Arabidopsis thaliana: one gene and its partner. The protein of the gene in region 1 interacts with the protein of each later gene in a pairwise test. Each region holds a gene or a part of one and is shown in the gene's direction. Other genes may lie near its edges. The genes, in order: AVP1 and AT2G39805.

What was found.
Region 2: the proteins of AVP1 (region 1) and AT2G39805 interact in a protein complementation assay, tested with the Arabidopsis thaliana proteins (one large-scale study listed by BioGRID).

The regions. Positions count from the first base shown.
Region 1 is NC_003070.9:5,397,130-5,403,314, forward strand, and holds AVP1 (Inorganic H pyrophosphatase family protein), read left to right. Parts: upstream 1-1,796; 5' UTR 1,797-1,985; coding exon 1,986-2,247; intron 2,248-2,445; coding exon 2,446-3,020; intron 3,021-3,107; coding exon 3,108-3,487; intron 3,488-3,587; coding exon 3,588-3,674; intron 3,675-3,755; coding exon 3,756-4,086; intron 4,087-4,216; coding exon 4,217-4,627; intron 4,628-4,708; coding exon 4,709-4,768; intron 4,769-4,849; coding exon 4,850-5,056; 3' UTR 5,057-5,390; downstream 5,391-6,185. Other genes in the region: ATPC2 (ATPase, F1 complex, gamma subunit protein), read right to left, coding at 5,500-6,185. UniProt on the Arabidopsis thaliana protein: Contributes to the transtonoplast (from cytosol to vacuole lumen) H(+)-electrochemical potential difference. It establishes a proton gradient of similar and often greater magnitude than the H(+)-ATPase on the same membrane.
Region 2 is NC_003071.7:16,609,188-16,614,417, reverse strand, and holds AT2G39805 (Integral membrane Yip1 family protein), read left to right. Parts: upstream 1-1,863; 5' UTR 1,864-2,064; coding exon 2,065-2,118; intron 2,119-2,591; coding exon 2,592-2,649; intron 2,650-2,748; coding exon 2,749-2,829; intron 2,830-3,016; coding exon 3,017-3,185; intron 3,186-3,515; coding exon 3,516-3,789; intron 3,790-4,007; coding exon 4,008-4,202; 3' UTR 4,203-4,519; downstream 4,520-5,230. Other genes in the region: HOS1 (ubiquitin-protein ligase), read right to left, coding at 175-350, 441-575, 861-1,251, 1,388-1,477.

The DNA.
Region 1 (6,185 bases):
TGAGTAATTCATAAACGTTTAACTAATTCGATTGATACTCATCAACGCCTTATAGCATTGTCAATATACAACTATAAACATTGAGATGTCACCAAATTTTGGTGAGGCTAAATAGAAAACATTATAATTACGACGACGACGATAATCTAATCATATATCATGGAAAGTCACAAATCTTACCGTGTAAAATCATTCGCCTCTTTCTAATTCAATTATTGTTTTAACTTTAATTAGGTGGATTGGTTTGAATTCTACGTTTACCACACCAGTCACCACTTGGATAAACCTTTAGGCCATGAATGATATTATATAATTTAGAAAGAAATGGAAACTAAATCGTGATTGAAAGATAAAAGTATGTCAGCCACAAAACTAGGAAAGATTTCCTTTACATGATAATAATTTTTTCGAGATTCATTAGCAACCTGCAAAAGGGAACAAAGATAAAGCATGAGTGGTCACTAGTACTCACTGAGTACCCAAAAAAAACACAATTAAATGCTAAGAAAATTCCACAAAATAATTTTTTGGTTAAGATATTTTATTTTATATATAAAAAGGTATTTATCCGATTGGAGGGTTGCACACCATTCAATACACTTAATTACGTCAGCCGTTCGAAAAGGCCCTCCGATATATCCTCCTCTCTCACAAACTTCTTCAATTTTGTATTCACTGGCAATATCTATGTACGGTTTGGTGCACTGTATCTTCTTACACGACTGTCTCGTATCGTATGAAGATGAGATTAAAATGAAAAAGTATTGGAATCTAACCTAATCGAACAAATGCCAAAAATAATTTAGTACAACGTCGAATCGAATTTGTGAAAGTACTATAGAATCGATTCACATTAGAGACGAATACGAGTTTTTATTCCACTTTAAATTTCATCGTAAACTGAAAAGTTTTTTTTTTTTTTTTTTGCTTTGCATTTTTCTTTTTTGCTTTATCTGACACGTAGATATTAATCAGCACACGGATGTAGTTTTATCTCTTTGCCAAAAAAAGAGAGTCAAATCCTCAAATTTAATCCTACATAAATGAGAATTTTGTTATTGTTAATCATAGCTTTTACAATTATAGCAAGCATTTACTTTACCCCAATAAAGTTTATGGCAAGCATTTATATATCGTGGATTGGTAAATTAACAATTTTATACAGATGGCCTGTTTTAATTAAAGGGTTAGATTTTTCACTATGGCTTTCATTTAAACAATTAAAAACCCTGATATTTTAACTACGTATTTCCATTTATCCTAATCATGAAATTAATACAAAATGATTTAGGCTCTTAACTATATCTTCTTTTTTTATTGTTCAAAGCTCTTTACTATTTATCCATATTTGATAATATGTACACTGAATCCATCTTTGTAAAATAGGAAGAGAGAATTAAATGATATATTTTAGACCAAAATACACCCGATTTGGTAAATACTCAGAATATACCATATGGATCAGATAAATCATAATCTTCACCTAACTAAATTAATTTTCTACCACGAAGGGGGATTGACTACAAAACCCGAAAAGTACTAATCATGTACTTCCAGATCCGACGGCTAAAAACGCATCGATCAACACGTAGTAGGTGTCTTTCGCCCTAAACTCAACGACCAAGATGAACTCAAGCTTTACTTTGCTGTCGTGTCCGACAACTACCGGATAGATGAGGATGAATCTAAATTCGGACAAATAGAGCGTAGTCAACACGCGCGTAAATGAGTTCTGATGGTGTAGCGTAAAAACCGTGTACCCAACCGTACCGGATTCCATCTATCTTTCTGGATGGGAGCATCCAAAGAGAAGAAGGAGAGAGCTAGTCTTATATAACGACACGATATCCTCACCTATTTACGCCTCATTTTCTTCTTCACCTCTCTCTCTGTGTGTGTTCTGTGTTCTCTCTCTCGCGCGAAGCGGTTCTCTTTCTTTTGTTTATTTGTTTTTATTTGTTTTTCTCTTATACGGAGGAGAGAAGATGGTGGCGCCTGCTTTGTTACCGGAGCTCTGGACGGAGATCCTTGTACCGATTTGTGCGGTGATTGGTATCGCCTTTTCGCTTTTCCAATGGTACGTTGTATCTCGCGTGAAACTCACCTCTGACCTCGGCGCATCGTCTTCCGGTGGAGCTAACAATGGGAAGAATGGATACGGTGATTATCTAATCGAGGAAGAGGAAGGTGTTAATGACCAGAGTGTTGTCGCTAAGTGCGCTGAGATTCAGACTGCTATTTCCGAAGGTAAGATCTATTGATACTTTATTCAGATCTCACTGTTCTGTTTTTAGATCTGGCTCTGTTTTTTGATTGGTGGTTGTTTGATGATGTTTTGGATTGTTAGAACGTTGAAATTACTAATTCAGTATCTTGTGAAATCTGAGATGATGTGTGTTTTCTGAGTGAATAATATTGGGATCTGTTTGGTTGTTGTGGGGACAGGTGCAACTTCATTCCTATTCACGGAGTACAAATATGTTGGTGTCTTCATGATTTTCTTTGCTGCTGTTATCTTTGTTTTCCTCGGCTCTGTTGAGGGATTCAGCACTGATAACAAGCCTTGTACTTACGACACCACCAGAACCTGCAAGCCTGCATTGGCTACTGCAGCTTTCAGTACCATTGCTTTCGTGCTTGGTGCTGTTACCTCTGTTCTATCTGGTTTCCTTGGGATGAAGATTGCTACATACGCTAATGCTAGGACCACTTTGGAGGCGAGGAAAGGTGTTGGAAAGGCGTTCATTGTTGCATTCAGGTCTGGTGCTGTGATGGGTTTCCTTCTTGCAGCGAGTGGTCTATTGGTGCTTTACATTACTATCAATGTGTTCAAGATCTATTACGGAGATGACTGGGAAGGTCTTTTTGAGGCTATTACTGGTTATGGTCTTGGTGGGTCTTCCATGGCTCTCTTTGGCCGTGTTGGTGGTGGGATCTACACTAAGGCTGCTGATGTCGGCGCTGACCTTGTCGGTAAAATTGAGAGGAATATTCCAGAGGATGATCCAAGAAACCCAGCTGTAAGTACACCATTTCACTGTGTGATAACACTTTGCTTTCTTTTTTTCAATAGAAGTTAAGACTTATTTTGGTTGGTTATGTTACAGGTCATTGCTGATAATGTCGGTGACAATGTTGGTGACATTGCTGGTATGGGATCTGATCTCTTTGGATCATATGCTGAAGCATCATGCGCTGCTCTTGTTGTTGCCTCGATCTCATCTTTCGGAATCAACCACGACTTCACTGCCATGTGCTACCCATTGCTCATCAGTTCAATGGGAATCTTGGTTTGTTTGATCACAACTCTCTTTGCCACTGACTTCTTTGAGATTAAGCTTGTCAAGGAGATTGAACCAGCATTGAAGAACCAGCTCATTATCTCAACTGTTATTATGACTGTTGGTATTGCTATTGTGTCATGGGTTGGCTTACCGACCTCCTTTACCATCTTCAACTTTGGAACACAAAAAGTTGTCAAGAACTGGTAATTTCCTTGTGGATGATTGCTTTTGTTTTTTTCCTGCATTTCTCTATTCAAATTTCTCGTTGCACTTTTTTAAGTCTTGCATTATTTTGGATTTCAGGCAGCTATTCCTTTGTGTTTGTGTTGGTCTTTGGGCTGGACTCATTATTGGTTTCGTCACTGAGTACTACACTAGTAACGCCTACAGGTAAGACTCATTTTAGCTGTATTTAGTCACTAACTTTTCCCAGCTAGTAGAGCTAACTCTTATGTCCTCCTATTCTTGCAGCCCTGTGCAAGATGTTGCAGATTCATGCAGAACTGGTGCAGCTACCAATGTTATCTTCGGCCTTGCTCTTGGTTACAAATCCGTCATTATTCCAATCTTTGCTATTGCTATCAGTATATTCGTTAGCTTCAGCTTTGCTGCTATGTATGGTGTTGCTGTTGCTGCTCTTGGTATGCTCAGTACCATTGCCACTGGTTTGGCAATTGATGCTTATGGTCCCATCAGTGACAATGCTGGTGGTATTGCTGAAATGGCTGGAATGAGCCACCGCATCCGTGAAAGAACTGATGCTCTTGATGCCGCTGGAAACACCACTGCTGCTATTGGAAAGGTATGGAGCCTTCTTAACCTCTTTCTGCAATCCGATGAATTAATAAAAGAGCTTGCTTGCTTGAACCATTCCTCAGGTTGCCTTTGCTTGTGTTGTATTTTGACATGTTATTCTGGTTTGTTGTGTACAGGGATTTGCCATTGGCTCTGCTGCCCTAGTCTCCTTGGCTCTCTTTGGTGCCTTTGTGAGCCGTGCAGGGATCCACACCGTAGATGTTTTGACCCCTAAAGTTATCATTGGGCTCCTTGTTGGTGCCATGCTTCCTTACTGGTTCTCTGCCATGACAATGAAGAGTGTGGGAAGTGCAGCTCTTAAGATGGTTGAAGAAGTTCGCAGGCAGTTCAACACCATCCCTGGACTTATGGAAGGAACCGCAAAACCAGACTACGCCACATGTGTCAAGATCTCCACCGATGCTTCCATCAAGGAAATGATACCTCCTGGTTGCCTTGTCATGCTCACACCTCTCATTGTTGGTTTCTTCTTTGGAGTTGAGACCCTCTCTGGTGTCCTCGCCGGATCTCTTGTATCCGGTGTTCAGGTAAAGTATATTCTCAATTCAATTGTGAATAACTATTCTTAAAAAAAATGCTCATCGATGCTCTCTGTTTATTCTATTCAGATCGCCATATCAGCATCTAACACTGGTGGTGCCTGGGACAACGCCAAGAAATACATCGAGGTAATGGAATTTTCTTGTAGCTTAAATCAAACCATTTGAAAATATGAAGTCAAATCCTTAAGCATTGTTATATATTCGCAGGCTGGTGTATCAGAGCACGCAAAGAGCCTTGGACCAAAGGGTTCAGAGCCACACAAGGCAGCTGTGATTGGAGACACAATTGGAGACCCATTGAAGGATACTTCAGGACCTTCATTGAACATCCTCATCAAGCTCATGGCTGTTGAGTCTCTTGTCTTTGCTCCCTTCTTCGCCACTCACGGTGGTATCCTTTTCAAGTACTTCTAAACTCAATCCGAGGGAAGAAGATGACGATGATGAAGAAGAAGAAGATGATGATGGCGATCGATTCTAAACTTTCTTTTTTACCATTCTTATTTTCGTTTACCGTAGGTGGTTAAAAAACCTTTTTTGTTGATGAGGCTCATTTAAAGAACCAACCAAATGATGTTTCTTTCTCTCACTCTCTGTCTTTCTGTTTTCTTTTTGTTCTGTTTAGAATTTAGAAATCCACCAAGTATTCGGTCGAGACTTGTTTTAGCCGTTACTTTCTGCTGCTTATATTTCCTAAATTGGTTGTCTTCTTCGAGACATAATTGGAATTTATTGTTACTGTTAGTCTTTTGTCGGCGTTAGGTGTAAACGATTCTCAATTTCTCATGATCTGTAAATTCTTTCATGACATTTATTACCACAAACAACAAATGATTTTACACAGCTGTAGTTTCTACCTAAGACTCTCGAAGAGCTTCTGCTCCAGCCACAATCTCCAGCAACTCCCCAGTGATCTTAGCCTGTCTCGCTCGGTTATAAGCCATCGTCAGATTCTTCTTCAATTCAACCGCATTATCAGTCGCATTACTCATCGCATTCATCCTCGACGCAAGCTCACTCGCTAAAGATTCCTGCAGTGCTCTTAGAATCTGACTGTTGAGATACAAAGGCATCATTGCATCAAGAATCTGAACAGGGTCTTGCTCAAACTGCATCAACGGTGAGATCTCAGGCTTCTCAACTTCAAGCTTGGTCCTTTCCACAGCTAACTTCCCATCTTTGCTCGTTAGCCTAAACATCTCATCCTCGATAGCATCAACACACTCACCTTTCACATCACAAGACTCTCCTTTCATCGACAAAGGCAACAGAGTGTGGATCACAGGATCAGATTTCACCAAAGACACAAACTTTGTGTAAACAAGCTCAACTTTATCAACCTCTTCACTGACAAACAAGGAAAACACATCATCTGCAATAACTTGAGCTTCTTTAGTCGTTGGGAAAACACCTCCTCCTTCAATACATTTATCAACATCAAATTCATCTCTCCGACTAAAATAAGCATTCCCTTTCTTACCTACACTTATCACAACACAGTCTATTCCTCTCTGCTTCAACTCTTGAACTCGCAGAGTAGCTT
Region 2 (5,230 bases), on another chromosome or scaffold:
ACTGCAAGCCGTATACAAAACAAGTAACTCATTCTATGACAGAGGCAAACTAAACATTAATGCACGTAGGAAACTTCAATGTACAACGGATATTTCTAAGGGGGATAAAGAGAGTTATTTAAGCATACTTTTGCAAAACTGTTTGGATATCAATGAAATGAAATCATGGCTGACCTGCTTTGTTTTACCAATGTTCTCTCTCAGCGTCTGCACATCTTGAAGCTGAGGTGACACAGAACCCTTAAAAGCTGATTCCATAACTTCGAGCACACTACATATGCCAGCCACCTGTTTGGAACACCTTAGGAGTTTATCTAACCACGCTTGCATCTCTTTTGTTTCAAGATTATCTGAGGGCCAATATTAAAGATAGACAGACCTTACGGTGCACAAATATACAGTCTTAAGAAACATAAAAATATTAACAGCTAAAAGGATACAGATTTCTTGAAGTTCAGCTAAGGTGCTCCGGAATGTACGCTTGACCCAATCCTTGACAACAACTTCATCCAGCAAGAAAGCAATGACCGGATCACTAGATACAGCTGTCTCATCCATACAGACATTGGTGATATCTATTAATTTTCTGTCAAGGAGATGTCAACTATGCATCCAACATAAAATACCTCTTAGAGAATGAATGACAAAAACACTATGCACATTTCGCCCAACAGAGACAAGCATGAAACAAGAACTACCTAAAAATACATGAACCTATCAGTACAAAACTCCCCATATAAACACAGTTCCTAATAGCACAAGCATACGAATCTAAAAGAAATTCATGAAAGTATCAAACAGGAAACTAAAAGACTAAATGCATATATCAGACACCAAGCATAAATGCAACTGAAGGATACAATGGCAAACCACCGAGATCAAATTATTGTTCATAGCAACATCAAACAGAGAATAAAGGCGATGAACATCAGCTGCCAATTGATGTTCATCCTCATCCGAATCCTGTGACGCCTCTTCATGTGTTCGGGAAATCAAACCAGCTTCAACACACTCATAATAGAGACGAAGCCTAAGTCTATCTCCAAATTTTGGTAGCGTACTTCTACAGATAGGACAAACATCACACCTCTGACAACACTCTGTGCACAAGGAGGCATGACCACATGGATTCAACACATAGTTCACAAATCTTCCACAGCTAGCTAAGTCTCTTGTTGCACGACATCGCTCAACTTTTGCCTCATTACATAATTCTCTGAGGTTTATAGATGCCAAATGTTTCAACGCCTCCTGTAAGTTACAAACAATAAATTCGAAATTAACTCTAAGCTCTGCAAAACCCATTTTTTTAAGCTGAACCTAGAAATCCTAAGACCTGAGCTAAACTAATTCAGTGGAGAAATAAAAAGGTATAAAGCGGAAGAACCTGAACAGGCTTGCTACTGTAATTAGGCTGCGTAGGAAGAGATATCGATCTCGCGGCGGAGGCAAAACCGTTGATTTCTCTCGTATCCATCTACTCCGGTGACGAATACAAAAATGGAGGTAAAGAGAGAAAAAGCGTGGTTGGTGTTGGCGAGAGTGATAAAACCAGTCTAGGGCTCCGTTGAGCTTTCTCGGGAGGGAAGACGAAGAGAGGAAACACTGTTGAGTGAATTTCTCCTCAAACGGGTCAAGTCGGATTGTTTAATTCGGGTCAAATTTTAAATATGGGCCTTTCTTTTTGAAGTCTTGTGTGAATCTTGTGATTGTCTGGGCCCAAGTCGGCAAATCACGATTCGGGTCAAAATTTAAATATGGGCCTTTGTTTTTGAAGTCTTGTGTGAATCTTGTGATTGTCTGGGCCCAAGTCGGCAAATCACGTGTCCGAAAGTGAACAGCGCGTGTTTTACCGACTTGCTAAGAAAGCGCGTGGATCGTTCTTTCTTTAGTTTCTCTTCCTTTCCCAATTGCTTCCACGACGACGGAGGAGGAGAAGCAAACCCAGAAACCTTAAAAATTCAGAAAAAGGGACGACCTTTTTTCCGATCTTATCGATTTTTGAATGAGATTAGAAGAACCTATCTTCTAAGTTTTTCTTTGATATCTTTTTCTCTTTGATCGATGGATGAGTCGTTCGCTAATCTACAATCAAGCCATTTGCTTGGTTCAGTTCCGGTAAGTCTATATTACATCTATTGCTTCTTTCATTTCACCATCAATAAGCTCTTTGATTGAGTTTTTCTATGATCCTTGTTTGTGTGAAGGGAAAATTAACGTTTTTTGTTCATGCCATCATTTTGTTTGTTGTTCTGTCTCAAGTGTTACATTAGGAAGTAGAATTTTGAAACTTTTCAGATTTTTTTGTCATATTTTTTCGCGTCCACGATGATGCCTAAAGTCTTCACACTCATAGAACAATGGACGATTTCCTTATTTGCATTTCTGGGTTTCTATATTTGTTAAGGCGTTTTATTTAAGTTTTTTCACCATTTTAGGAGACAATTCGTATGAAAAACAAAACTGTATTTGAGTTTAAATGCTTGCATGATAGCTTCATTTTGGATTGAATCCGCTAAGATAAATGTTTTGAGTGAATGGATTGACTATCCCCGTGTTATTATGTCTGATACAAACATCTGTATTCTTAGGCTGTGATCAGCGACGACAAGAGAAGCACAAATGTACCAATAGCAAGCGTCAATGAAGGTGTGTTCTTTTGCTAGTTTCTGCTTGAATTATCTTTTGCAAAGAACTTTTCCGGTAGTGAAAGACATTGAGTGTTGTATGTCTTCTGCATTATTGCAGGCCCTTCTGCAAGCATGCAAATATTTCCACCGAATCTAGGAAACAATACAAAGGGTTATCAAACTCTTGAGAGCCCAACAGGTATATATGCTCCTTTTAGATTCCTTTTTTAGGAGATATTTTTATCTGTAGTCACCATGAATCAGTACAATGGTTGAAAGAATACTTGTGTGAGTCAACCTCGTTTTTCTTATGGATGTCAAGATCCTATATACCTTTGTTTTCACCTTGTTCTGTCTTATATGGTGATATATCTTATCTGCTCCAGTAGAAGGACCAGCACAACAGCCATCAAACAACTGGAAGGGCTTTTTTAATGTCTACTCATATACCCAATACTTCGACGTGGACACGGACGTTGTTTTGAACAGATTAATGAGCTCTTTATATCCTACTAGTGGAGATTTTTTCAACAAGATTGATGCAAACCCTGATTTGTAAGTCTTTTAATGCCTTTTTCTCCTTCACTCTTCTTGGTGATTGTACTTACCATGAGAGAGTTCTTTCGAATTTCTTTAATCGGTCCATTGCTCAGTCATGCCGTTAATTTGTTACCGTTCTAAGTGTTATCTTCTGCACCTTTCCGAAAGCATGATCTTGCTATTCATTTACTCCTATGTTACTTCAGGCGATTGATTAAAATATCCTCATTTTCTCTTGGACAAATGAACAGAAAGCATCATAATATGTTATCCTCTAAAGATTGGCTAAAAGCTAGGCCTTTCACAAATTATTCTTGATTAATGACTCGTGTGTGCTTCTGTTAGGTATGGACTTGTCTGGATCTGCACTACGCTTGTGTTTGTGCTTGCTTCTCTCGGAAATTGTGCTACATATCTCGTGAAGAAACGAACCGACAGTAATGCTCCTTGGATCTTTGATGTGAACTATATGAATTTGGCAGCATCTATAATATATGGATATGCAATAATTGTGCCTCTGGGATTTTATTTTGCACTCCGTTATATGGGGTCCAAAGCTGATCTTCTAAGATTCTGGTGCCTTTGGGGATACTCTCTCTTCATTTTCGTTCCAACCTCTGTAAGTATCTTCAGTAACTTCGGTCTCTTTTGCTGTTAAAATTAATCAATTGATGATCAGTAACACTAAAGACAAATGCATATACTTGATACACAATGGTTTGGTAACTTCACTTTCAATGACCATGTACAATGACATAAATCAACCTAACTTGATATCACAACTTTATACTTCATACTGTTTAAGCATAATAACACTCAGGATGTTCTATTTTGCAGCTTCCATTGCTTATTCCAGTAGAGTTTCTGAGATGGGTGATTATACTCTTAGCTGGTAGTGCATCATCGTGTTTTGTTGCCCTGAATCTACGGTCTTACCTCGAGACGAACAATGATATCACGGTTGTAATGGCTGCAGCATTTGGTCTGCAAATGGTTCTTTCAATCTTCATCAAGGTCTGGTTCTTTCCTTAATCTCCATGAGACGGTCAACACCAGACAAAACATATATATGTAAAAACCTTTAGATTTTGATGTGCTGCGGTAGAACTAAGAATGTCGTTACCAGAAAATGAAACCCACAAAGTAGAAGAAGGAACATATCCGCTAAATCATTCGGTTTCGTTTTTACTGGCGGATTTTCATCGTTGCTTGTAACGATTGTGTTTTTTCATTTTTTGGTTTTGTTTGCTACCACTTATTTTGCTTATGGAGTAAAAATATATAAAAGAAAAAAAGGAAGTTTTCAAGATTTATTGCAATTTACTCTCTTTTGTGAAGAGTGGAGGAGAGTGTTGAGTTATGATTCTGTATCTTTTGGTACATTTTGTAGTCTTTTGAATGTGGCAGAAGATATCACAGAATGGACTATAAAAGTATAAACCTTTTTTGAGTACAGAGCATGTGAAGTATGAAAGAAAAAAGCCAAAATGTCACATTAGATAACCTGTGAATTATCTTTATTTCTCCTTTGAATAAAAAAATGGATAAAGTATCTGCGAGATTTATCATTTATGAACAGACTCGATTTACAGGTCAATCTTACTCGCTAATAAGTTATAATTGATTTGTTCTTAAGAAACATCACCAGCACTTACAACAAGAATCCTCAGACTTTTAGTTAATGAAACATGTTAGGTAGAATAATGGGCTGCGCAGTAGTTATGGGCCTACTTCACTGGCCTATTGGAATAGATAAAAATCACATTTTGGTTTTTTTTTTTTCTATCTAAACTCAAATATTGTTGTGTTCTAAGCACACATACAATATGCTCTAACGAAATCTTATCAAGAAAGAAATTTTTGTTGCAAGTTGTAACCATGAATTTTACAGTTTCTCTCTGTTATGAGATCCTTATATTGACGTTCAAGTTTTTGAGTTGCATTGAAAATTAGATTATGATGTGAATATTTATATAACTCAAAGATTCGAAGCTATGGTTTAAGCCTTTTTGACCTAAACGGATAAATACCGTATATAATTGAAAATCATGGTATATTCG